7 linked regions of the Danio rerio genome follow. The main gene of each other region encodes a partner of the protein of the gene in region 6 in a complex. Links are inferred from orthologs where the notes say so. Each region holds a gene or a part of one and is shown on either strand. Other genes may lie near its edges. The genes, in order: mks1, cc2d2a, ahi1, tmem17, tmem107l, cep290 and tmem216.

Evidence for each region.
Region 1: cep290 (region 6) and mks1 share a complex: the UniProt entries of both Homo sapiens proteins name them as parts of the tectonic-like complex. The link is inferred for Danio rerio from reciprocal best matches to the Homo sapiens genes CEP290 and MKS1.
Region 2: cep290 (region 6) and cc2d2a share a complex: the UniProt entries of both Homo sapiens proteins name them as parts of the tectonic-like complex. The link is inferred for Danio rerio from reciprocal best matches to the Homo sapiens genes CEP290 and CC2D2A.
Region 3: cep290 (region 6) and ahi1 share a complex: the UniProt entries of both Homo sapiens proteins name them as parts of the tectonic-like complex. The link is inferred for Danio rerio from reciprocal best matches to the Homo sapiens genes CEP290 and AHI1.
Region 4: cep290 (region 6) and tmem17 share a complex: the UniProt entries of both Homo sapiens proteins name them as parts of the tectonic-like complex. The link is inferred for Danio rerio from reciprocal best matches to the Homo sapiens genes CEP290 and TMEM17.
Region 5: cep290 (region 6) and tmem107l share a complex: the UniProt entries of both Homo sapiens proteins name them as parts of the tectonic-like complex. The link is inferred for Danio rerio from reciprocal best matches to the Homo sapiens genes CEP290 and TMEM107.
Region 7: cep290 (region 6) and tmem216 share a complex: the UniProt entries of both Homo sapiens proteins name them as parts of the tectonic-like complex. The link is inferred for Danio rerio from reciprocal best matches to the Homo sapiens genes CEP290 and TMEM216.

The regions. Positions count from the first base shown.
Region 1 is NC_133180.1:61,439,270-61,442,769, forward strand, and holds part of mks1 (tectonic-like complex member MKS1), read right to left. Parts: intron 2,063-3,500; coding exon 1,965-2,062; intron 1,721-1,964; coding exon 1,592-1,720; intron 1,325-1,591; coding exon 1,220-1,324; intron 1,121-1,219; coding exon 1,012-1,120; intron 1-1,011. UniProt on the Homo sapiens protein: Component of the tectonic-like complex, a complex localized at the transition zone of primary cilia and acting as a barrier that prevents diffusion of transmembrane proteins between the cilia and plasma membranes.
Region 2 is NC_133198.1:2,308,778-2,312,277, forward strand, and holds part of cc2d2a (coiled-coil and C2 domain-containing protein 2A), read left to right. Parts: intron 1-378; coding exon 379-471; intron 472-1,781; coding exon 1,782-2,012; intron 2,013-2,352; coding exon 2,353-2,509; intron 2,510-2,951; coding exon 2,952-3,088; intron 3,089-3,500. UniProt on the Homo sapiens protein: Component of the tectonic-like complex, a complex localized at the transition zone of primary cilia and acting as a barrier that prevents diffusion of transmembrane proteins between the cilia and plasma membranes.
Region 3 is NC_133192.1:9,401,718-9,405,217, reverse strand, and holds part of ahi1 (jouberin), read left to right. Parts: intron 1-1,490; coding exon 1,491-1,665; intron 1,666-1,768; coding exon 1,769-1,961; intron 1,962-2,041; coding exon 2,042-2,137; intron 2,138-3,426; coding exon 3,427-3,500. UniProt on the Homo sapiens protein: Involved in vesicle trafficking and required for ciliogenesis, formation of primary non-motile cilium, and recruitment of RAB8A to the basal body of primary cilium.
Region 4 is NC_133200.1:30,968,122-30,972,182, reverse strand, and holds the start of tmem17 (transmembrane protein 17B), read right to left. Parts: upstream 2,801-4,061; 5' UTR 2,725-2,800; coding exon 2,610-2,724; intron 1,980-2,609; coding exon 1,876-1,979; intron 1,766-1,875; coding exon 1,652-1,765; intron 1,577-1,651; coding exon 1,433-1,576; intron 1-1,432. Other genes in the region: PKc_like domain-containing protein, read left to right, coding at 2,826-2,872. UniProt on the Homo sapiens protein: Transmembrane component of the tectonic-like complex, a complex localized at the transition zone of primary cilia and acting as a barrier that prevents diffusion of transmembrane proteins between the cilia and plasma membranes.
Region 5 is NC_133198.1:31,419,244-31,423,327, forward strand, and holds the start of tmem107l (transmembrane protein 107 like), read right to left. Parts: upstream 2,801-4,084; 5' UTR 2,644-2,800; intron 2,521-2,643; 5' UTR 2,515-2,520; coding exon 2,428-2,514; intron 2,336-2,427; coding exon 2,268-2,335; intron 1,645-2,267; coding exon 1,544-1,644; intron 1-1,543. UniProt on the Homo sapiens protein: Plays a role in cilia formation and embryonic patterning. Requires for normal Sonic hedgehog (Shh) signaling in the neural tube and acts in combination with GLI2 and GLI3 to pattern ventral and intermediate neuronal cell types.
Region 6 is NC_133200.1:18,973,537-18,977,802, forward strand, and holds the start of cep290 (centrosomal protein of 290 kDa), read right to left. Parts: upstream 2,801-4,266; 5' UTR 2,750-2,800; intron 2,436-2,749; 5' UTR 2,362-2,435; coding exon 2,269-2,361; intron 821-2,268; coding exon 743-820; intron 575-742; coding exon 505-574; intron 1-504. UniProt on the Homo sapiens protein: Involved in early and late steps in cilia formation. Its association with CCP110 is required for inhibition of primary cilia formation by CCP110.
Region 7 is NC_133189.1:29,311,898-29,316,149, reverse strand, and holds the start of tmem216 (transmembrane protein 216), read left to right. Parts: upstream 1-1,452; 5' UTR 1,453-1,463; coding exon 1,464-1,476; coding exon of another isoform or gene 1,477-1,493; intron 1,494-3,122; coding exon 3,123-3,136; intron 3,137-3,225; coding exon 3,226-3,319; intron 3,320-3,400; coding exon 3,401-3,493; intron 3,494-4,252. UniProt on the Homo sapiens protein: Part of the tectonic-like complex which is required for tissue-specific ciliogenesis and may regulate ciliary membrane composition.

The sequences.
Region 1 (3,500 bases), on a different chromosome or scaffold from region 6:
GCAAATAGACTAGTAGTGCAAATACTTCAAAACCATCTTATTTTAGCATTATTTATATAGTGTTAAGGCAGCAGTGGCACAGTGGGTAGCACAATCCCCTCACAGCAAGAAGGAAGAATGCTTCCCAGTGATGGGTTGCAGCTGGAAGGGCATCCACTGTGTAAAACACCATCAAGTTGGCGGTTCAATCCACTGAGGTGACCCCAGATTAAAAAAGGGACTAAGCCGAAAAGAAAATGAATGAATAAATGAATATATAGTGTTGTAGTATTACAACAAGTCTCTTTCACTTGCATTGGCTTCCTCTTCTTTGTCATGTACAGTATAAAATTCCTCTATTAACTTACAGAGATCTTCACAACCTGGCACCCGATTACCTCTCTGATCTTCTACACTGGTACACTCCTCGGCGCTCACAAACATCTTCTACAGCTGAAATGTTATCATTTCCAAATTTTAAGATGAAGTAATTCGGAGGCAGAGCTTTTTTGCTGCATAGCACCACAGTTATGGAATTCCCTGTCGTTAGATATTCGTCATGTGGACTCTACTTCCAATTTTAAATCACAGGTAAAAGCTTTTCTGTTCAGGATTGCTTTTAATGATTTTCTGGTTTAATATTATGTTTATTATTCTTCTGTCTTGTATTTTATGATGTGCTTGTGACATATTGTAAGGTGGTGTCTTTGAGTGCTTTGAAAGGCGCCTATTAATAAAAGGTATTATTATTATTATTAATTATTGTTTTCAATTATTTTAAAATGTTCAGCTTAAAACAATTAAATCTTTTATAAAAATAATAAAAATACAATATAAAATTATTCTATATTTTCAGTTATTTAAGGTAATTAATTATTTGCTGTTATGAGTTTATTTTTATATGTCTACTTAGCTCTTTTTTTCAGTTTTAGCATCTCATAACTTCATAAAATGAAATTGAAAATATTGACCAGAACCTAAAGTCATAATATTACATGCATTTTGACAATCAATGCATATTATAGTACTTACATCTCGGTACATGCGCTGCTCTCTGTCTTTCTCCTCTGCTTGAATGTCTGATGAGGCGTTCTCCAGATACAACCTCCACACTTCCCTCTTCTCCCCCTCTGTTTCCAGCCTGGTGTAAATGATAGTCAGAAACATCTGTAATCACGGTGAATTCAAACATGTACTTCTCCAGAAAAGTGAATAGAAAGAGAACAGAGGTGGGTCTTGCCTGTAGGCTCCTCTGTTGTTGTTAAAGTCTGGTTTTATTGAGATTACTCCATTGCCGTCCGCTTTTATTGTGCATAAAACATATTCATTCTCTTTCAGGCCCAACCTGTAAAATAGTTAAGTGAGTTGATTGTGTTGTTCTATAGAAAATACACCAATCTATGACTATAACTCACATGCAAGTGTCTGTTGTGTGACATATACAGGGTATGTGGACAAAAGTCTTACAGCTGAAGAGGAAAATGGTGACTTTAAACTACACAGTGTGAAAGCAAAGCCCTTAAGTAGTGTAATAAGTGGCCCCTCAGGTCAACTAAATTCTAGAAAATTGTATGATATGGCTTCTTTAAATGGCAAGCATTGTCTCACATACTTTCCTGTAGGTCCAAGATCAGCCATGATGTACATGGTCTGCACTGGCGTGTTGATGATGTGACTGTTCTTCACAAACTCCTCTGAAGGTTCCCATGTGATTAAACGGGACTTGGGAACATTCGACTCTCTATATAACAAACAAAATAATAATAAATAAATAAAAATTAAATAATAATAATGCCGGAGTAATTGGTGTTTCATTCCACTGTGGTTAGCTCTGAAAAATCAGGGGCTAAGCCAAAGGAAAATGAATAAATGAATGATAATATTAATAATTAAATCAAAAAATTATTTGTGTACCAGTAAACCTCTAAAATGTCCAAAATGTGATCAACTCTTTACAGAAAACAAATTGGTTTTTTTATACTTACGCGGGACGCCTCTCTTGTCTCCTGTGTCTTACATTGGCCATGCGTTCTGCTAGGAAAGTAGGTGTAGGCTGAGCTGGAATCACCAGACTCTGAGCTTGCTGCCAAAAAAAAATGCAACTTTAGATAATTGTACAAACAGATGTAGCCAAGATTGATGTAGCTATGGTCAATCTAACCACACTGCTCAAAATCATGTCCAAGTCTTATTTTACCAAAATAGTTTCATAATTGTTTTGTTAATAAGAAACTTGAGAACTTTTGCTATGAAAATAATTATTATTTTATTTTATATTATATTTTCGGTTTTAATGTATATCAAAAGTATTTATTCAACTTCATTTCAGAGTCTCATGTTATCTTATATCTACATAGTAGGTATGTGGCTTAGGTAGGTTAAAAAATTATGCAGTAAGTTTTATATGCTCATTTATTAGCCCATAAAACACCCCTAGAATCAGAAAGTCCTAACTGACAATATTTGGAAATGTCAAAAATATTAATGCTTTTATGACTTCAGGCTGGACTACTGTAATGCACTGTTTGCTAGCTGCCCAGCATCCTCTATTAACAAACTTCAGCTAGTACAAAATGCAGCTGTCAGAGTTCTTACCAGGTCTAGAAAATATGATCATATCACCCCAATTTTATCGTCCATACACTGGGTGCCTGTTACTGTAGGTTTCGTATTGAATTCAAAATATTGCTTCTTACATATAAAGCTTTAAATAATCTAGCTCCTGTTAATCTAACCAACCTTCTGTCTCGCTACAATCCAACTTGCTCTTTAAGATCTTAAAACTCAGGGCTTCTGGTAGTACCTAGAATAGCAAAGTTGAGTAAAGGTGGTCGAGCTTTCTCCGTTATGGCTCCTAAACTCTGGAATAGCCTTCCTGATAATGTCAGAGGCTCAGACAAACTCTCACAGTTCAAAACTAGATTAAAGATCTATCTGTTTAGTAAAGCATACACTCAGTGCATTACTTAGCGATTTTCAAAAGGTTTCTGCATCTTGTTTATATACACTATAAACAGCAGCTACGTTATTATTTTCTTTATTTCTCTATTTCCACCTAGGGATACTCTTCCCAAGGCCCTCAGACTATCCAGAGTCACTGATCCGATCCAAGAACAGAGACGAGATGATCCCAAGGTTTCCATACCCTGGACCAGGCCGTATCCTGAGCTGCTTCTGTAGTGGTCATGGAGAGCATGAGACTGATTCTTGTGACGCTTCAGGGACGGACGAGTCTTCGCTGAGGCTCATCGTCTAGCCTCTGCACAAGACGTTTATCCAGCAGAGAAATTAAAATGGTCATGCCCAAATGAGTCTGATTTCTCTCAAGGTTTTTTTTCTTCACTTTTTTTCCCCTCTCCGCTATCACCACTAACTTGCATGGTTTGGAATTGGTAGAGCTACACTTCGATGGATTTGCTCTACAGTGTTTGGACCCTCAATAGTGATTATTAAACCACACTGAATGGAGCTAAACTGAACTGAACTTAAACACTACAAACTGAACTACACTGTTCCAATTT
Region 2 (3,500 bases), on a different chromosome or scaffold from region 6:
ATACAGCTTAAAGTGTCATTTAAAAGCTTAACTAAGTTAATTAGGTTAACTAGGCAGGTTAGGGGAATTAGGGAAATCATTGTATATTGATGGTTTGTTCTGTAGATCATCAAGGAAAAATTGTGTTTAAAAAATTAAAAACTGCTTTTATTCTAGCCAAAATAAAACAAATAAGACTTTCTCCAGAAGAAAAAATATTATCTGACATACTGTGAAAATTTCCTGCTCTGTTAAACATCATTTGAAAAATATTCAAAAAAGAAGAAAGAAATTTGAAGGGGCGAATAATTCTGAATTCAACTGTATACATTTCTTCTAATGAATGTGAAGTCAAGTTTCAGTGTTTAAAACGAGGTCTGATCTGCTCACCTCCTCTAGATGGATCCAGATCTGCGGGCTGATGAGGACTCCTCTTTTGCTGCCAGGCTGAAGTTTCGTGATGCGGCCAGACGTGCGGTCAAAGACAAGCAGGTGAGAAGCTCCCTAAAGGTCTTGTTATATATGAAGAGGTATAAATGCTCCATGTTCATGATTGCCTTTAAGGCCGTACTCACACTAGGTACATTTGCCTCGAACCAGGCCAAAGCACGCTTGTCCCCCCTCCCGTCTCTTTCGACGGCCCGCACTCACACCACAATCGGGCCTCGGCACGCTTACGTCATCGCTGCTGCGCTGTTCAGTGAGAAGCGCTCTCTCACTCACTCAGCAGCACAGTGGAGATTTCTCTGGTTATATCGTTTCAGTCGGTTTGATATGCAGTGACATGCAGTCAAATATTTCGCCAAACAGTCCTTAGGGATGCGGTGACACGCAGTCAGATATTTCGCCGAACAGATCCGCCACTTTTGGCACTCATAAACAATCATAAAGCCCTCGTGCTGCACGAAAATGGAGGTTTGCTGAAGGTGCAGCTGTCGTGCAGTGAGGGGTTTGTGTATTTAATAAGCTACGGCAGTTTGCGTTCACTGAACAGTAAGAATTAATAATAAATCCATATAAAAACAGCCCCTTAAAAGTCACGTCTCACTTTCAATTTCGGGCTTTGGTGCGTTTTGCACTCACACACAAGCGTACCGTGCCAAAGTCCAAGCGAACCACGCTCAGGCCCACCGCTTCCAACCGGGTCAGGGCCGGCCAAGTGAACCGTGCTTGAGCCCGATTCAGCCCACTCACACTTCTCAAACGATTCGGGAAACGGGCCTGGGCACGGTACGGATGGCATAGTGTGAGTAGTTCACCCAAAAATGAAAATGAAATAAAGTTATGAAATGGACAACATTTCTGATGCTCTCGGCTGCTCTGAACACTTTCTCCGTGCCACTTTAAATCCCAATATGCACTGGGATTCTATATGAATGAGCTGAAAACGCTCGCTGAAATGTGCTAGCGAGATTACGTCGTTTCTCTTCTGCGTCAGATAGAGGTTCGGCATTCAGCAGCTTCTGGAAGACAGTGATTTAAATGTATAATTAAAAAAATATTTGAAATATTCCTGTTACAAAAACACAAATCCACGTTTATAATATGTGTGTTAAACACTTGGTGGCATATAGTTTGCTCCCAGATTGCTGAACTTTTGAAAGCTTAAAAAAAAAGTGCCACAACCAAACACTATTACACAGCATGAAGATCCAGAATAAATGGTAAAACTACTCTGACTGTGTTCATCTGACAGAAGAAAATCATATTCATCCAGGGGAGGAAATAATGTGGTGATTTTCATTGTTTGTGTGACCCCATCCTGAGATCCTGACACTGAAGTGTGTCTGTCTGCTGATCAGGCTGAGGCTGGTTTGCCGACCGCCGAAGAGGCCTACAACTTCTTCACCTTCAACTTTGACCCGGAGCCTGAACAGCAGCGCCAGAAGAAGAAAAGACGCTCCAGGAGAAGAGAGGCAGAGGAGGAAGAAGAGGGAGACTCAGAAGGAGAAGTAGAAGGGGAGGATGAAGAAGGAGAGGAAGTAGGAGAGCTGGAGAGACAGAATGAAGGAGAGGAAGAGTCTGAAGCCAGGGTGACTTATCGTGCTTATCGTGTTTTTAAGCCCCACACTGCAAAAAACTGCTTTTCTTACTTAGATTTTTTTGTCTTGTTTCTAGTCCAAATATCTAAAAGTTCTTAAATCAAGAAGCATTTTCTACACAAGCAAAACATATTGTCTTGTTTTAAGAAATAATACGCCAAAATGAAGTGAGTTTTTCCTTAAATCAAGCTAAATAATCTGCCAATAGGGTGAGCAAAAAAATCTTATCACAAATCACGAAAAACACGATTATTTTGCTCACCCCATTGGCAAATTGTTTTGCTTGAAAATTGATATCCACTCATTTTAATCTGATTCAATCCCTGTCTAGGATGAAGACGACCCATTAGTCGGAGACGAGGAGGATTTGTTCATCATTGACCAATCAGCACAGGACTTCCTGGAAGTGAGGCGAGCGGAGTATGTTGACTACAGCAGGCGACTGCAGAGGGAGCGAGACACGCTGTTTGTTCCCAGCATGAGGCCAGGTACAGAAACCATCACTAAAAGCTGCTCACATCATCTGTATTAGTCACGAAAGTACATGAAATCAAATCTAACCATATTAATGTTGTTAGCTAATATTGCTAGTTTTGTGGTGAACAAATCATCTGTGTTGGTCATTAAGAAAAAAATGGTTTGCCCTTGTAATATTTAATTGATCTTTAATTAGTCTGTAAATGCACTTCCTGTGTGTTTTCAGTTAAATTCCCAGATTATTCATGTCTGATATATTGGGGGTGTGGCTAGCATGCTTAACCACGCCCCCTCCACTTGGGTTTGTTTTAATCCAGGAGTGTAATACTTAGTTAAACCACTGGGTGTCGAACTTGCACCTTTAATAATGGTGATAAATTTGCTCGTTGTAATTGTGATGATATATATTTTCATACAGTTACATCTGTAATCTGTGTTTAATGTGTCACCCAGTGCCAGCCTCCAGTAAGCTGGCGGAGAACACACGTCCACGTTTCCTGGAGGAGGAGGGTCTGTATGTGGGGGAGAGGCCGCACGTCTGCCTGACCAATCTCAACATATTAGAGAATCGAATACTGAAGCAGGCCGAGGTAATTTAGGCCCTGTCCACACTGGTATTCTCAAATCACACTTTTATTCGACGCGGTTTTGTTCACTCGAAAACACAGTGTCAGGTGACTGAACCTGAAACATTCTGAAAACTCCAGCCAGGGTGTAGATTTCCTGAAACTCTGGGTAGAGGGTGGTCATGTGGATGCTACAACTAGAGTTTTTACCTCATAATGTTTTCTCCTTCACACCAAATCACTGACACTGCATCGTCTCAAAGTCATGTTGATCAGCTGGTCTGTCTATGAGCTGACATACGAGTGATCTGCTAATACAGTGGTTCCCAAACTTTTTTCATCAAATACCACCTCAGAAAAAATTGTCCCCCCAAGTACCACAGTATGACCAGTATTGAAATACAGTAGTGCAGTAGGCCTAATTAAGCAACTACAG
Region 3 (3,500 bases), on a different chromosome or scaffold from region 6:
GTTATAATAATAGTAATAATAATAATAATAAAATATTAATATTAATATTATTAAAACAGCTCAGGGATGAGCTTTTTTGAATTAAGGGTTGGAAATGAATGCTTGTCTTGTTTTTTGATCCGATTAATCGAAAAAATTATTGATAGATTACTCGTTATTAAAATAATTGTTAATTGCAGACCTAATGTACAGTTGAAGTCAAAATGATTAGCCCTCTTGTCAAATGTTTTTTCTTCTTCAAATATTTTCCAAATGATGTTTAACAGAGCAAGGAATGTTTCACAGTATTTCCTATAATATTTTTTCTTCTAGAGAAAGTTTTACTTGTTTTATTTTGGCTAGAATAAAAACAGTTTTAATGTTTTATGGTCAATATTATTAGCAATTATTATTTCAATTGTCTACTGAACAAACCATTAATATATAATAATTTGCCTAATTACCCTAAACTGCCTAATTACCGAGACCCGGAAGGGACGTAATGTATATTTTTGTAAGTTTTTGCGTTCCCTTGCAAAGATGTTTTGCGTTCCCTCAAAAAACTTGTTCTACAAACACTTCTTGTTCGCTTTATACATGTCAAGCCTCCCATTTTTGCCAGGATTCTCCCGTATTTTACCATTCTGTCCCACTATTATCCTATCATTAAGTATTTTCCCAATTTTCTCCCATATTTTTACTCTTGAAAGCACGCTGAAATTAATAAAAAAAGGTCTGCATTCACTTTCTGTCCATTAAAGCTGTGCGTCGATCATTGCTCTTCATTTACAACCTCTGAATCAGCGAATGCATGTATATGTGCCTACTGACAGATGCAGCTCCGTATGATAAACGGATAAACGCAGAGGGAACGCAAAAACTTAAAAAATATATTTTTCTATCATTCCATTTTTTTCATGTCTCCATAGCTAATTAACCTAGTCAAGCCTTTAAATTGCATTTTAAGCTAAACATTAGTATCTTGAAAAAGAGCTAGTAAAGTATTATTTACTGTCATTATGCAAAGATAAGATAAATCGATTATTAGAAATGAGTTATTAAAACTGTTATGTTTAGAAATGTGTTGAAAAATCTTTCTGTTAAACAGGAACTTTGGAAAAAATATACAGGGAGCTAATAATTCTGGAGGGCTAATAATTCTGACTATAACTGTATAAGTGTATGTATATCGTCATCTTGGAATTATAAGGTTCTATCTGCGTTCTGAATGATTTTGAGATATTGAGCTTCAAAGTCTTTGCATTCCAAAGCAAACAGTCTGTGTGTAACATTTGTTTTTTGTTTTTTATAAAAAGTCTTAAAATGTAAACAACTTATAAAAACATCCCAAATTATAAATAGGTTGTCATTTAATAAGAATATGTCAATAACTTAATTTTAACAAAAATGTCAGATAGAACCTTATAATTCTAAGATGACGATATGCTTCCTTTATGCACTTTTTTGCACATGTGATTTGTGGGTTTGAATGCGATGGTTGATTCTGGTAGTGCCTGTTGAGGAGGAGCAGACAGAAGAAAAACCAGCCTTTGATGACAGTTTGGTCCTGGGAGTTTATATCCACAGAACAGACAAGCTGAAGACCGACCTGATGGTGTCTCACCCCATGGTCAAAGTTCATGTGGTTGATGAGGTCACTGGACAGTATGTCAAGAAGGAGGACAGGTTTGGACTTTTCTTTCTTCGTTTTTTCACTAAAACCAAAACCTGCTAGAAGGCATTTGGATCTTAGGTTTCAAACCCGTATCGTGTTTCCTTCTGCTTACAGCCATCGTCATGTTTCATCCTTCTATGAGCAAGAAAACATTGAGCACATCCTGCCCATTATAACTCAACCATTTGACTTCAAGAAACACAAAACAACAGTTCCAGAGTGGGAGGAACAGATCATCTTCAATGAGCGATTCGGATATTTTCTACAAGATGACGACGAGAGTCCACGTGTGATGCTGCTTTTTGAGGTTTGTTAAAAGTTTAGGATTACATTTGCATTGTCAAAGCAAAGAATTGAATAAGGATCGCAGTTTACATGCTGTTACAGATTCTGGATTTCATCAGTATGGAGGAGGCTCGAACAAACGTCTCAGTTGATCGACATGAAAGAGGTTTCAGAAAGATTGCTTGGGCTTTTTTGAAGGTACCAGACTTTACTGTAGTTCCTGTTATTTTTTTTATATTTAATAATTTCATGCTTGTTTATTTGATTATTAGCTCCATAGCTGTTTTAATTTTAATTTTATGTAGGTTAATTCAACCTCTCCCTATTTAAACACACCTGAATCAACTCATCATAACATAAGAAGAGACTTCAAAACCTGAAGTTAATGGGTCAGATAAGGAAGACATCCAAAATATGTACCAGCACGAGTGGTCTTTATTGAACCTAAAAGAGCACATGTCACTCCACTACTCATCCGTTTGCACTGACTGCCAGTCGCATCAAATTCAAAGCTCTGATGTTTGCTTACAAAGCGATTTCTGGCTGCGCCCCTTCTTATCTGCTCTCACTTCTGCAGATTTATGTGCCCTCCAGAAACTTGTGTTCTGTGAATGAATGTCGCCTCGTGGTTCCATCTCAAAGAGGGAAGAAATCACTTTCCCGAACTCTCGCATTCAATCTGCCCAGTTGGTGGAATGAACTCCCTAACTGCATCAGAACGGCAGAGTCACTCACTGTCTTCAAAAAACAACTTAAAAGTCAACTATTTAGTCTCCACTTTCCTTACTAATCTGCAATTCCCTCTCTGACCTCTCCACTAACTACATAAAAAAAAAATACTACTGTTTTGTTTCTTACACTTTCTTTGCATACCTGAAACTTGCCTACAGCACTTACTTATTGTTGCTTTTATGGTTGTGTAAATTGCTTCCTTGTCCTTATTCGTAAGTCGCTTTGGATAAAAGCATCTGCTAACCCTGCTGAAAAATCCAGCTTAAACCAGCCTAGGCTGGTTGGCTGATTTTAGCCGGTTGACCAGGCTGGTTTTAGAGGGGTTTTGGCCATTTCCAGGCTGGTCTCCAGCTATTTCCAGCCTGGTCTTGGCTGGTCAGGCTGGAAAATGACCAGCCAAATCCAGCTAAAACCAGCTTGACCAGCCTGGTTTAAGCTGGACATAGCTGGTTTTGTCTGGACTCCCAGCTTGGCTAGGGTGGTCAAGCTGGTTTTAGCTGGTCATCTCCTAGCCTGACCAGCTAAGAGCAGGCTGGAAACCAGCCTGGAAGTGGCCAAAACCCCTCTAAAACCAGGCTGGTCAACCAGCTAAAACCAGCCAACCAGCCTAGGCTGGTTTAAGCTGGATTTTTCAGCAGGGAAATGACTAAATGTAAATGTACTGTTGATGTGTCTCTAGGAACAGGGTTGGGAAACACTGGGTTAACTGTATCCTTTTTCAGATGGTCATTGTGTTCTTCAAATGTTTCTTCTAGCTTGTAGGAACCAATGGGGTGTTGAACATTGACACCAAACTGCGTCTGCAGCTTTACTGCCCTCCTCCACGAGC
Region 4 (4,061 bases), about 12 Mb from region 6:
GGAGCAATGCATCTAACTACAGCCCTAGAGGTTTAGTTGTAAGCTTACAAGTTTGTGATGCAGTTTGCGAATGTTCAATGGAACGACGGATTTGGGAACCGCCAAATCAACAAACTATCTTTGTAACGATGGAACTTGTGACCTTGGTTTGCTAACAATTGTTTTCGGAAAAGCACCCCAGGTTGTAAGTACTGCGTCTAAATGCTAAAAGAAGAAATCGGAGAAGTGACAAAAAAGAAAGACCAGGCAATGTATTCAAAATTAAATTTAAACAGATCATCCTCATCAAAAAAGTTTAAGATCATAGCCTTAAATGAAACGCTCAACATTTAAAAAAAAATAAGTTTAAACAGTTGAGTTTTAGCATTTTTTATTCAATTCTGTTGATCTTCAGGTCTGGTGTGAGCACTTTTAGCTTAGCTTAGCATAAATCATTGAATCAGATTAGACCATTAGCCTCTTGCACAAAAACTTAAAGTTATATAAGTTACACAAGATAATTTATATTTATATATAAATATATATATATATATATATATATATATATATATATATATATATATATATATATACACATATATATATATATATATATATATATATATATATATATATATATATATATATACATACATACATACATACACGCACACTCTTCTATAGTTACATTATGTACTAGGAACTATACTCTTATTCTAAAAAATATTTCCCATCTAGATAACAGTGCTACATATTAACATTGTCCCTGCTGCAGCCTTGGTATGGCAGCTAGTCCCTTGATTATTACACCAAAATGAGAGTATAGTTCTTAGCCATATCAACATATCACTTGCGCTTGACGCTCCTTCCACGTCTGGTGTGAACAGCATTAGTATACAATGTGACTAGAAAAGTGTCAAGCTCTAAATAGAAAAATTATCTCCAGTTATTATTTGTATTTTTGGAGCAAGATGCTAATGGTCTAATCTAATTTAATGATTTATGCGAAGCTAAAAGGGTTTTCACCAGACCCAGTGATCATCTAAAAGGATTAAAAAATGGCAAATCTTTTCTGTTTAACTCTTATAAGTTGAGCCTGTTCCTCCTGAAGTGGAGTGTTTCATTCAAATCTGCATAAAAATATGGCTTTCGTGCTTCCCTCCTGAGTGAAAATCTGTACTGAAGATGTAGTAAAATCAATCGAGACAAAAGCAGTTGTAGGCTTTGGAAATTAAAGTTGTAATCTTTATGTTACAACCAATATCATTGCTGTTCTTAAACTCTAATCACTGTGTTTTGCACAAAATAATGGCTTTTTGTCAAAGTGTCTTGAGTGTTTTATAAAACACTGTTCTGTTGGTACACAACTGAAATCCCTTCAAATTCTGAACAATGAGGAGTTAAAAATTCTACATAGTCACTTAAAATAGTTGTAAGATAGACAGATAGATACCTCAGCAAAGATAAATAAGGCCAGTATTATATGAACTCCTCTCTCTAGTGGTTGAACAAGAACAGCCTCATTGAAGAGCTGGAACAAAATCAGAGGAAACTGAAGTAGAAAAGTCAGAAGCCAAAATCCAGCCAATTCTGGAACCTACTGAAAAACAACAGATGCATAATGGGACCAATTATAGGATATTACATGATATTACATTAAATTAAGATTGACCTTTTCTTGCAGATTTCCAGCATTGCCCAAATACAGCCTAATAGCCTCAATCAGGGTCATTACAATGAGAATTGTGATCAGGATGAACTTGTAATAATCTGCAAGGGCTGAGTACTAGAAGAAAAAGCACAATGATTATTAGCTGTAATATCTAACAACAGTAATATGATTAAACAGCCATAAGATCATATTGAAATGTTAAAAATGACAAAGACGAGAATCACCTTTAGGTCAAGCATCACAACCTCACTGATCCACCAGAAAGGAAAGAACCACATGTTAAAGTAGAGTGACATCTGAAGAGGGAGACTCGATACTACATCCTTATCTGAGAAATAATAGTGCATAAAATTAAAATGACAAATTAGCTTTGAATAAAGTTCATTTTTACTAATCTTGGGCATCCTAAATAACCTGATTCGGAACCACAGATATATAATATGTATAATAATAATACATAAATCAGTGTTCGGAGCCTGTATAGGATGGAGTAAAATAACATTTGGCGAATCGGTTCTTTTGAACAGTTCGTTTTAAATGAGTAACTTTGTTCACTTGGCTGTTTTACCTAACTAAACTTGGTTAAAGATATCCAAAATATTTCGATTCCGTCAACCTATTAAATCATCTAGTTGCCTTACTTTAAGTAGTTTTTTTGACTAATCACGTTTTATGAAAAGGTCCATTAAGAAGATCCGATTCAAACGAACCATTTATTATGCTTTTTGGTAACGCAACGTAGTTTCGTAGGTCCCAGACAGGAATAACGCCAAATGTTATCAACTTCCTTTTAAGATTAATGCTACCATAAAGCATTATTATATCTGCATATGACGTCAGAAAAAAATATGTTTACTAGCAAAAGCTACATGAAATCGTACAACTCGGCTAACCAGATGAATTAGCCCTACAGCTAACGTTCACGTAGCAGATCAAATGGAAGCTCAAACACACTTACTTTGGTCTAGAAAATTTGCGTGCTCTTCGAAAGAGGGTTGTGTACGGCTTTGGTCCACAAACACGGTTCTGGAGAAATCTCCAAGCCGTCGCCTGATGGGTTCAGGCAGGTCCATGTTGGGAGAAGCAGACGTGTGTCCGTAGCAACCAGTCTATGGTAGCAACGAAGGCGGATCTTCTTGAGCGGTTGTGATGGTCCAGCTGTGACCACCGGGGGATGTTTTTCACTCTCACTCACACACACTGCTCAGCTGCACTTAACAGGTTTGCTTGCTTTGTATGATGGCGAAATAAGATACATTATGCTGAGTTTTATCCTGCAATGTGTATAAAGAATAATATTAATATTCCTGGCTTAAACTATCACTTTAAGTCAGCATGAAGTAAAAAAATGTACAATGTTTATTTTGCTAGAGGACATTGGTAGTGTTAAGGTGAACAATTAAGTAAAGTCGCTGATCATTTTTATTGTAGGTAATCTTTAATCAAAAACCTCCTATTTGATTCTGCTCTGGTGTGGGGGTCCTTCTCTGATGACGTCAAGTATGAGAACTAAAATAAAACCCTGCCCACTACTCAATGTTCAGTTTATTCAGTCTTGAGATCCAGGGTTTCTATTAGAATTTAGAGCTTTATTTTAAAGAAGGTTCTTTTTGGGTTCTTCACTTTTGAGAAACAATATGAAAAGATATATTTTTTTTGCAACCCAAGGTTCATTCATTCATTTTCTTTTCGGTTTAGTCCCTTTATTAATCCGGGGTCACCACAGCAGAATGAACCACCAATTCAGGGCCGTGCACAGACATTTTGAGGGGCAGGGGCACTAAGTGGGTGGGTTCTTGCTTATACAAATTTTCTAGTTGTTGTAAAAGTACAATTAAAAGAAAAAACAGTACACTCTGTAATAATTTCAGAACTATTTACCATTTTACATTTTTATATTTACCTGTACCTTTAAAAACAAAACTTTTTTTGTCCTGAAAGATCTTGATAAGCTCATCTTACATGTATGTGATTCACATTTACACATTGCGGATAATAACAGAAACTATTTACTGTTGGATGGACAATCTGAACATTTTCTGTCTCCATCACCTTTACTTTGCTGAGTTGACTCGGAGGGAGTTTCATCTTAGAATGAATAACAAAGCATTTACAATATTTAAATTATTTAAATGTCCATCTATCTTTGTATGACACTCTAGCATATCCCTTCCAGATTAACAGTCTTACCTGTACCTGTGTGATTTAGCTCATGCTCGGTGGTCTCCCTCATTTTTTGAACCTGCTTCTGCCTCATCTTCAATGGAAAAATAAATATTACACGTTTAATTTAATATTATACACCATGAATTTATATTAACTTTTAGAATATTAATATTGCATTTTTTTTTACTATTTATAGGCCTACTGTTGACATGGTTTTAATAAAATGATTTGCTGTAGCCTGTGA
Region 5 (4,084 bases), on a different chromosome or scaffold from region 6:
CCGAGGTTCGAACCAGCGACCCAGCGACCTTCTTGCTGTGAGGCGACAGCACTACCTACTGCGCCACTGCCTCGCCCAAGCAAAAACTTGTTTTTCAGAAATAAAAATAGTTTTTGCTAACAAAAATTTAAAAATTCAAAGGAAAATTTATTTTTGAAAAATAAAAATTACATTTGCAAACAAAAAAAGAACTGAAAAAAAAAATATATAAATATTTGCAAAACATTTTTAGCCTTGACCTAACCCATCCAGTCAACTGCAATGCTCATTTTGATTTGACAAAGGGGTGGAGTCAAGGGAACTTGGGCGTTTACGGCAGGCCTTAGGTAAACCTCTAAGTTCCCTTGACTCAGTCCCCTTGTCAAATCAGGGCCACAAAGTGAAAGGCGCAGAAACGTGAAGTACAAAGTGAAAACAGCATCACAAACTCACAGTTGACTAAAATCTAATTAAAATGACAATTGCAACTGACCGGGCAGGTTTTGTAAAAGCAATGCTATAAAAATGTTTTGCAAATATATATAGTTTTTTTTTGATTATTGCAAATCTTTTTGTTTTGTTTTTTTACTGCTTGATGTTTATTTGCAGTTCCTTTTTTGTTTAAATTTCATTTTTATTTCTCAATTTTCCCCTTTGCAGTTCTTTATTTTTGTTAGCAAAATGTATTTTTTATTTTTTTCATTTACATTTATTTATTTTTTGCTCAATACTTTATTTGTTGTTTGCAAAGTTTTATTTTATTTTGCACGTACAGTTGAAGTCCGAATTATTAGCCCCCCTTTGAATTATTATTTTTCCAAAAGGGTTTTTTCTTCTGGAGAAAGTCTTATTTGTTTTATTTCGGTTAGGATAAAAGCATTTTTTTTTTTAAACACCATTTTAAGGTCAAAATTATTGCTCTTTAAGCTATATATTGTTTCGATAGTCTACAGAACAAACCATGGTTATACAATAACTTGCCTAATTACCCTATCCTGCCTAGTTAAACCAGTTAACCTAGTTAAGCCTTTAAATGTCACTTTAAGCTGTATAGAAGTGTCTTAAAAAATATCTAGTCAAATATTATTTACTGTCATTATGGCAAAGCTAAAATAAATCAGTTATTAGAAATAAGTTATTAAAACTATTATGTTCAGAAATGTGTTGAAAAAAATCTACTTTCCGTTAAAAGAAATTGGGGAAAAAATAAACAGGGGGGTAATAATTCAAAAGGGCTAATAATTCTGACTTCAACTGTATATATGGCCCTAGATTGACTTTATATACCAGGTAGGTCTTGACCACATTACAGCTCCATATAATTTTTTACGACCCATGACTTCAGGTAATTTACTGTCAAAAATCTGAACAAAACAGAAGACTTTGGATGAGATGTGTAAGAAACTAGTACTAGACACACATATGGGAGCTGTTTGCGTTAATCATAAGTTGAAGATTTGACTCCGATCCATGAAAATATAAGAAAATAATACACAATTTATATGCATCAACACCTACAGTATATATATAACCTATAGTGGTGATGTGCTACTGGTAAGGATACACAGAAGAGCTTGGTTGTTGTTGAACATAGAGATTCCACAGAGAAACCCAACCAACTCGATGGCTAACAGGCCAAGAGTCACGGATAATGCCACCACAAGCCTGTATTCCAAAAACAATGGTTAGGACAGCGTCATGAACAGGACTTACTATATCTGACTCCATAACATTATTCACATCTACATATAAATAATGTACAATTTACTATCAGTCAAACAATAATATGCTGTAAATGGGTCAAACAAGAAAAGCCATCAAAAGATTTTAAAGTATTTTGTTTCATAAATTAAAAGGTACATTTAATTAACAATTAAAATACATTCTGTATTGCGGAATGAAAAAAAAAAAGACTATTTTAGTTGAAATCTTGCAGGTTGTAATTTCTTTTCTTTTTTGGATTATTTTGCTTGAATGTAATTGTAATATCTTTCAATTTCTAAATATGTTTGATGACTAAAATATTATTTGAATAAATATATCTGTTTAATAAATCTGTTTTGTTTCAAAGGGGTGTACTCATTTGCTGAGCACTGTGCATATATCATGCACTTGATGCTATCGCATTCCTAGGTATACCCCAACTGCATTTTGTTGCCTTGTACATGTATAATGACAATAAAGTTGAATCAAAAAATACTATTCAGTCTCACTACATGACCGAAATAATTATATTATCATTTAGCCACTGTGAAGCAATACAGAACAGAGAAAGTGTGTTTCCCAACCGTGTGTCCTCTGCTGTGTACTCTTCATTAGTGTAGTCGAGTGGTAGACAGGCTCGGACACTGTACTCCTGTAGGTCATTCCACATTTAAACACACAGCTGGCTGCAGTGATGTTGTGTGATATAAAAATAACAATTACACACACAAGAACACTTCTTACCCGAGACCAGAAAATGATTATCACTATTACAAGGTGCGCGATGAGAGTGAGGAAACGGGCAGGCACCAGACTGCTGACCACCGACATTGAACACTAGACAGAGAAGAAAGACATAATAACTTAGATTGAACTGTGCAAGTGGATGACTAACAGTTAAAGGTTTAACGTGTTCATCTTCACAAAACGTGAGGTTGTATATCAAAATGGTATACGTACCAGCTTTGCGTTAGTTGTTAAAACCTGATTTTTCAAATGGTGAGCAGTAAAGTAGATATAGCACTGTATATAAGGCTACTATGCGTATAAGTTTATCAAGCTTGAGGACAGTTATCGCTCGATATAAGCTTCGGGTTGCTACGACAACACTCTTCTTCTATTTGGCGAATGGGTTATGGTCAAAACAGACCAACAAGTAGCTCAATGCTGTCACCTGCTGGAAGGAGTCGCTTTCTGACTGGTCCTCAACTTGGTTTTACAATGTCTCAAAATGTTCATTCATTCATTTTCCTTCGGCTGAGAGCAGGTACTAAAGGTGAAATAACTTGAAAATGGTGAACTGGAACATGGCAGCGCAGACAAGTAGTAAGACAATTGGAAAAAATTTATTTCAAAGACTTCATTATTGTGGTCAATAGGGAGCACTATCAAGGTGTTCGAGGTGTCTTAAACAAGCCTTTTATTCAGTCATTCATTTTCCTTCAGCTTAGTCTCTTTATTTATCAGTGGTCGACACAGCGGAATGAACTGCCAACTTATCCAGCATATGTTTTACACAGCGGATGCCCTTCCAGCTGCAACCCAGCACTGGGAAAATCCATACACACTCATTCAAACTCATATACTATGGCCAATTTAGTTTATTCAATTCACCTATAGCACATGTCCTTGGACTGTGGGGGAAACCGGAGTACCCGGAGGAAACCCAAGCAAACACAGGGAAAAAAGCATCTGCAGAAATGTCAGCCGGGACTCGAACCAGCAACCTTCTTGCTGTGAAGCGACAGTGCTAATCTCGAAATGAAATGCATTTAAACAAACTAAGTTGTTTTTTGTTTTACGGTCTCATTTTTACAGTGTATCTATAGCATAAAGTACTGAGTGGCATTAATTAACGATATGGAGTACTTACTATGGTTATGGGTTTTTGCATGTGATTATGCATAATTTATTGGTATTATAGTAAGTGCATAAAACGTGTGTAATAAGAGCCCTATAAGTTAAAAGGATAGCTCACCCAAATATAAAAACGTGTTTGCTGTTTATTCAAGTGGTTGTAAATCTTTGTGAGTTTCTTTCTTCTGTTAAGCGATAAAGGCAATACTTTAAAGAAAGTTGGAAACCTGTAACTTCCATAGCATTTGTTTTTCCTATATGGATGTCAATGGTTGCAGGTTTTCAGCATTCACAAATCAACAAATAAATGAATCATTAGTTTTTACTGTAGCCTACAGCCAGACGTCGTTGGTCTAGTAAATAATAAATAAATACTAACTCAGTGGTTTGCTATCAAGGGCATTTGCTGTTCTGGAAGGCAGTAAAATATTAACCTTAGAGTTAAGAAATTGAGAATAGACAGTTTTAGGAAGACTTTTTTTTTTACATTGTGGTGACAACATTTGCCATTTTATTTGCAGGGTGTGATATATTTTTAATAAAT
Region 6 (4,266 bases):
ATGTTTTGCACTGAAGGTGAAATTTTCAAATGTCTTCCTATCTTTCTTTGAGGACCTTGTTTTTAAACATTTTAATAATTTTCTTATGTGTTTGTTTCAAAGTGGCGATCCCCCGCCCATCTTTGCTCCTAAAGGACTAGACCTTTCTTGGATGCTGTTTTTGTACCAGATCATAATTACAATCACCTGTTGACACTACCTGTTTCAAATCACATCAATATTTAACCAATTTACCAGATTATCATCCCTAAACTGCTCCTGTCACAACTTTTTTGGAATGTGTTGCAGGTATGAATGACAGGAAGGGATGCATATTTAAATGAAATTGAAATTGACCTGACAAAACATGAAATATTTTGTGTTTATATTGTCTGCAATGAAATACAAGTCAAAGCAAATTTGGAAATCACTACTTTCTTTTTTTTTTTGCGTTTTCCATGCTGCGTTTTCACATGCTGTGATTTGTTCTGGAGATGCTTAAAACCTAGCAATGATTATACATACCAATTCTTGCTTGTTCTGCCCCTGCGCTGTCTACAACCTCATAGGCACATTTAATTTCATCCAGTTTCATCTAAAAACCCAAACATAAATAATAACATTAACTGATTCATAACAACAAATGCTCATGATAATTCAATGACCATACAACATAATTAAAAGAAATCTGGTAAATGTTAACTACTACATAACTACTGTACGCAGTGCTGCAAACATTGCGTAAATGATGAATCAGCCCTACCCTCAGAAGGGTTTGTGAGATCCTAAAGAGTTGAATCATTTTCTCAGAATCATCTGCTTTTAGGTCCCGTGGTTTGACCTGTATGCAAAAGAAATTTATTATCAGACAAATTTGCAAGAAGAATGTTTTCTTCCTTAAACATTCCGATAAGCGGATGTTAGCCTGAAAGCAAGACCTGAGGCTGGAGATGCTCTGTGGTTTGGCTTGAAAGAATAAACAATAAATATTTTTTTGAACATGCAACCACAAACACACACAATAACTGAGCATTAAGTTTGTAACTTCACATATTCACACTAAATAGTTTGTATTACTAGTAGTTAAATATAATTTTATCATTTATTTACTAAAAAAATAAAACCAGAAAACACAAACAAATATATAAATATAAAAACATACACCAAATCTCTTTTGATCAAGTATATATCCAATATATATAGTATGTGTAAATAAATATGTATAAATGAAAAAACTGTCTAAAGTGCCATTTTAACTATTGCATATAATTTAATTTATTTTGCACAGTCTGAGTCCTGTTGTTAATTGTAGCGTTTAAAATGATAGAAATGTGTAAGTAATAAAGCTCCCAGTATAGTTTACAACATATTTATATTTTGTGAAAAATAAATTGCAGTTATAACTGATTAACAGATGCAATTTATTCAGTAAACAACGGTTTAACAAAATAGAAAAAATATGTAATTTGTCCTTACTAATTATGTTTATCTTACCCTCCACTGTACTAAAAACATATTGGGTGATATCAGAATGAGTTATATACACCAGTGTTTCTCAACCACGTTCCAAGAGGACCACCAGCCTTGCACATTTTCCATGTTTTCTTAACCAAACACACCAAATTCAAATCATTAGCTCATTAGTAGACTGAAAGGCCTGTAATGGATAGAGGTAAAGTTGGTTTTCTTTTCGCACATTCGTTCATTTAGAAGTCCCTAAATTGTTTACCATGTTACTTTGAATATTCGTATGACTCCTAATCAACATTAACACTATCTAATTCACTGTGAACAATGCTGTACTTTGATAGTTATTTGCTGCTAATAAGATTTCTCTATTAAAAATTTGCAAAGAAGTTATCTAAATTATATTACTAATGAGAATGTCTCAATATCCAAATATAAAACCAACTTTACCTCTATCTGTTATGAGTGTGACACCCAAAACATGCAATGATGGTGGTCCCACAGGAATGTGTTTCAGAAACACTAATTTACACAACCATAATTCTATTCAAGAATGTTGAGTCTAAAATACATTTTTTAATGATCACATATTGTGTGTGTGATCATTAAAAAAAAAATATAAAAAAAAAAAAAAAAAAAAAAAAAAATATATATATATATATATATATATATATATATATATATATATATATATATATATATATATATATATAAGTGTTTCTTTAATAATTGCAACTCCAGATTGTTGTATTGTAGTTGCAGATTGTTGTAACATCTAGCTACACTCCTCACAATTAGTGTGCCTCAAACGTGTCAGATTACCATTAAAATCAAATCACAGATCTTCTCATCCTCATCCCCCAGATCCTCTGGATCCATTCCCATGAGGAGCCGCCAGTCTGCGGCCGCAGGCATTCTTCAGGTCAGCTGCAAATGTCCCCCAGAGCTGAACTGAACAACTGATGCTGAGATTGCCAGTCTTTTTCTACCTACAGACAACATGCAAAACGAATGTAGTTTATTTCTTCACACGGACTTCTCATTGAAAACAACACCATATACCGTCACAGCACAAAAGAGTCATAGCAGAATAATAAATACACGACAAAACGCCATGCTAAATATATTAGCCAGACATATAACGTTAGTTAGTTCTCACAATGTCGATAATTAGAAATGCATGCAATTGCTCGTATTTGGGTTGGTTTTGTTCGTTAGCATAAACCTAAATTTGAACACGTCTTAATGTCAACTTTTACACATATTTGTGAAACTAAAGACACTGAAAATAACGTTTTCAGACCTTATTAAGCCATCTTGGGTTCCTCTTGCGCTCCCGCTGCTGCTAGGCAACAAGGAAAACAGTCGTAAAACGTAACGTCGTAAAATTGTCTCTGTTTGGATTCTTTTTAAAAAAAATATTTCCTTTATACGCGGTCCATTCATTATAAGGGAATCACAACTAAAACCATATATCTATCTGTGTCTATACGTTATTTGAAATGGCATTACAGAAACACAAAATCCGCGAACGGCTACTCTGTAATTCCCTACTTTTGTTGTGCCAGGCATTTTGACCCGGAAGCAGTTGTTGGACTCTGTTAATTCAATGCCGTGGATCGAACTTGCTGCTTTAGTCAACATAAACAAACATATTCTCTTTTCATTTAGCTTTTCCCCAGACATGACAAGGTGAGTTGCTTTAATTACATCCTAGCGATGACTGCTGACAGAGAAGATATTGTGAAATGACTGAAACCAGTGAATGCTAAAAGCACAGCTGAAGTTATGTTTGTTCTTTAAACCCAGCAGTCTTTTATGTGTCCAGTTGTCTTTTTATTTTCACTAAAATGTAGCTTATTTTTTACGCTTGGTTGTTGTGTCGATGTTTTATTTTCTGACTGTAATGTGTTAATTAATCGATTGATCTGAATGTAAAACAAATGCTAACTGATAGCATATGATCTGTGAGGCTGCGCCCTCTCTGCTCCGCTCAGTCCACACAGATTATCCCATTATTACTGCGATTAATCTGCTCTTTTATTGCTGCATTTCGTAGCTGCTTAAGGACGTAATGCAGTATTCTAATATAAACTTGTTTTAGAAAGGTTATATACAATTTCTGAGGCTTTTAAAAGGTTTTCCAGGGATGGAAAAGGTCATCGAAATGAATGAAATATTGAAAGATTGACGATTATGTATTTGTATGTATGTTTATTTATTTATATGTCCGATCTGGTCTAAAACATTCACAAAGTACATTTACTTCTCATTATTGTTTTAGTATTATCTAAACACTGTTATAGTATTTCTTTATGTTTCAATTAGTTACTTCATTAGTATGCTTCAAGTAAATTGTAGTCATTTTGATAATTTAACAAAAAATACATTTACCTGTATCAATTCTAGTTTTCATTTAGAGGTTCTAACATTTTCTTTCAGCTTTATGTAAAATAAACAAAACCAATCACAATGATAAAACCACATCAAAATTACAGGAACCTTAAATAGTGAAAATGTATTAAACATAAATAATATAATTGAACACTGTTGCTTCACAGCAAGAAGGTCGCTGGTTCGAGTCCCAGCTGGGCTAGTTGGCATTTCTGTGTGGAGTTGCATGTTCTCCCCGTGTTGGTGTGGGTTTCCTCCGGGTGCTCCGGTGCTTACTCTCTCCTTAGTAATTTAATTTCACAAAATCATTTTTCGCAAACTCTAAATTTTAAAATTAATTTAACATCTAATGACAATCAAAGTACAACATGGTTCACAGTCACAGTTAAATAGGTCTGATGTTGTTTTGAAGTCATATTAATAGGC
Region 7 (4,252 bases), on a different chromosome or scaffold from region 6:
TGCTGTATTGTTTGTAGTTTAGGCTGACAGCATACAAATACATTATAACCGATTAATTTACCAGACGATATAACAAATAACAACCTGCAAAAGTTAGACAGTAATATACAAATGAAGCACACAAACAAAAATATCGTATCTATCGGTCTACCTAACTGACAACATAACAAATGGCATTCATTATAAACAGGCTACTAAAGAAGATAACAGAATACACAAACTAGAAAAATATGGATTCAAAATGCTAAAGTTAACAAGTCGTCTATACAGAAATCTCCATTTCCATCCAACATTCAGTACAATCAACAGTCTAACCGAAGAAAGACGTGGAAAAACTAATATACTACTCTGAAACGATATGACAGAAAGAAATACTAAAATATTTAGTGTATTCAACCAAAATCTCGTCGAAACAACAAAATATAACCTAAAATTATACTTTAAGAGAGATCTTTACATACCGCTAATGTCAGCGATGGCCAGACACTTAATGAAGGTCACACTAGTTTCTCAACGTCATTTTTCGAACACATTCTTTTTTAGAACGCCACTGACTATGGTAACCACAGCAACGCCACCGCACCGCCATCTTATGAGTATTTAAATAATAGCAACTGTGATTCTCTGTTTGACTAAATTTCGTATGTTCATATTCTATTTTGCATGCATATAAGTCTTATTTTTCAGGCATATAGTAAATTTATCTGTATCTAACCTGTATGTCTAAAAATAAAATATAGTTCAGTTTAAGCCACCAGAGAGCACTGTAGCTTCGGTCCGTGAACGGAGGAGCTGCTATTTTATCGGATAGAAAATACAATAACGCTTATATTTAATAACTGATTATAATTGTATGGTGTGAAAAAAAACCTCCAGTTACCTAGAAGAAAGCTCAAACGTGTAATGTGTATTTTATGTTATAAAAAGATATGTAAATGTATACCTTTATCAAAATACTCTCTTTTTTTACAGTTTTATAACAGTTAACAAAAACAGTTTATAAAAAGTAAAGAATCACACCTTATTATTATAGTACAAATTCTATACAATAATGTAGAATAAAAAATACATTATATCTGAATAGAGGAATTAATAATAGCGAATATGAAATAGTAGTGTGCTATGTATAATAATCATAACTATGAATAACACTAATACAACATTGCGTATACTATTGGCTAAAAGGAACGTATAAAAGGTTATTTATTTCAGTGGCAGTGACTGTTTTGCTGCTTAGTGTGCATATGAATATACAGATTATTATATTTATATGAACCGTAAGCTGTGACCGTTACCATTTTGTTTTGACCTTGTGGACTATAGGTGGAAAATGTGTGTGCTTACTACAGAATGTGTTCATTTCTCGCACTTGTATGTTTTTGATCACTGACCCGTTTGCTTGATTTGATTGGATGGCCGATGTTTGTCTCCGCCTACAGTATGCGTGTCCATGGCAATCTAACATGGCTGCCCACGGTAAGCAAAACGGAAATGTTTTGGTTTTGATAGTAAGTTTATTGGTTCACCTTAGTTGCGCATATTTAACTTAAATAAGTGGGCGACTTTAATAAACCAGACCCAGACGTTTTTGAAGAAACAAGCGGACTAATAGAGCAGAATGTGCACTTTTGTTTAGGGTGGAAAGTAGGCATCACGTAGCCGATTTTAGCCATTTAAAGCACGCCTGTCTTTTTTCCAACAAATAGATGTTATTTTTTTTATTATATTCTTGCATAATGATTAACTGCCTGTTGATCTTACTTCAATGCTTAATCTGTGTGTGTTACTTAACCGCGTGTTCACTAAATGTGTTCTCGCACTTGTCAGTATTGTTTTGTACAAATTGTGCTTGTGGGGCAGCTATTGTCTTCAACACTTTAAATGCAACCTATTTATTTTCATCTTTAAAAAGTCGTGTTTTTGAAAAAACATAGGTCTAATGAGAATTTTTATAGATAACCATATTACTTTGCTAAAAATATTGATAACCACTATTACTAGTTAATTGGGGCAGAATACCCGATTAATTTCAACACTGTGTCTTAAAATGAGCTGTATGAAAATCTTAAAAAGGCTGTTAGTTATAGTGGTAGGATGTGTTTACTTTGCAAAAAATCTAATAATATAAAACTCTATCCATTTAATTTTGTAATATACTTTAAAAAAAGCACCTGACATTACTGTCTTATTAACACTACCAACGATGCTGCTCAGGTATTCTCTGTAGATACAACCAACACATTTTAATGAAATTTAAATCTTTCCTTTGTTCTTTAGTCATTAATGTTGTTCACAAATGCTTCATGTCATTTTAAAGGGATAGTTCACCCAAAAATCAAAGTTCTGTCGTGAGTTGTCCTGGTTTCAAATCTATATGAGTTTTTTTTCCTGTTAAACAGAAAAGTAGATCAGTTAAAGAAAGGTCGAAACCTGTAACCATTGATTTCTGTAGTTTTTTTTTTCCCCGATGGAAGTCAGTGGTTACAGGTTTTCAGGTCTTTTCATATTTTTATGTTTAACAGAAGAAAAATAAAATCTTGTAAAAGTTTTGAACCACTTAAGAGTAAGTAAATAGTGATTACATTTTTTTGGGGGGGATGAACTATGCCTTTAAAAGTACACTGTCCTGTAACTTTGTACGTTTATTTCATTTTCAGACTCATCTTTATTTTATACTAGAGTTTGTAATGTAAGAAAACTTTTAACAAGTTGGCCTGGATTATGGCTTGAAACATTTTAACAAAGACTTTTGAGGAAGAAAATGAGCCACTGACCCAAAACAGCATTGTATATGCATGCCATGTGCAATATAGGAAGCTGGTTTGTGAACTCTGATAGGCAAACTGACTGTAATATTGAATGAATGCATACAAATTCACAAACCAGCACATTCTCACCTGTGAAAGATTTATGCTATCTATATTTACACTATCTTTGGTTATAAAAATGTCAGTGGCAGTGCCCCCCTTTTCTTCTACAAGTAGAGACTGCACAATATTGTGGCATCTTGAAAAACTGCATTACCCATTCCAAGATGGCAGATGCATAAATGAGACTAAAGGACTTTTACTTTTAGACCTATGTTATTTTCACTAATTCAGTATTTATTTTCACTTTTGCAGGAAGACAACCTGTTGTATCTTTTCAAGCTGTTTTTTTTTCTTATTATTTACTCGTTTGTCTTTGTTTATTCTGTTGATATTGCTTCTTAACAAAGTACCTCAGTTGTCGTCCACACCACTGCAGATCCTGTTTCATTTGAACGGCTGGTATTTTGCTGCATTTTTCGTTGCTGAGATTCTTATGTTCATTTACAAAGGTGATGTATGGCCTCTTGAAATATTCTGAAAATTTGTGATTTTATTTGTCAAGTAATCACTGTTTGCTCTGACATTTGTAGGAGTGATACTCCCTTACCCACAAGATAATCTGATATTGGATGTTGTCCTGCTGCTCCTCTTCTCTGGCCTTGAAACACTCAGACTTTTCTATGGTCAGTGCCTTATAAAGTTGTTTAATCTGCTTTAGTTTGTAGAATCGTTCAGTTAGTGCACTGAAATTATGCTCAGTCAGAACTTCAGAAGACCTTGTGAAGCAGTGTTTGACGATGCTCAAAATTTAGCAATAAATAAAGTGTGCATTAGTCGGGCCTGCTTCTTCAGCAGTGCTAGTTCTAGAAGTGTTTTTTTCTTCCCCATAGGACTTTATAAAAATGTTTTTTGAAAAGTGCTACAGATTTTTGAGCTGATCATTCCGTCAATTAATTAACTTACTCAAACGTGTTTTGTTACAGTTTTTATGTTATCTTCTTTGGGATTATTGAATAATATGTAAATGTCTAGACGATTTGAGATACTATATAAAACTATAAACACAATAACTTGTCTATAGAGAACAGGAATTTGACGTAACTGTGTAATGCATTCTGGGTGTTTAGCACAAGAAAGCCTGATTCCCATTGATCTCTACTGATTTTTTGTATCATATATATACACTCATCGGCAATAAACAGGAAGTGTTTGTACTACAGGTAATGAAGAAAATCATATATGCAGATGTTTTCTTGCTGCAGCTTGGGTAACTTTTAAGATTGTTACTTTTACTTGAGTATAAATTTTGTATACTCTACCCACCTCTGAAAGTAATACTGGTAATAATTTTCAACATCTTTTAGTGGATGCATTATATGAGATGCCTACCGCAGCTTAGTTTTAGGGATAGTAGAATAAATCAATGCACTGTGAATCAAGAA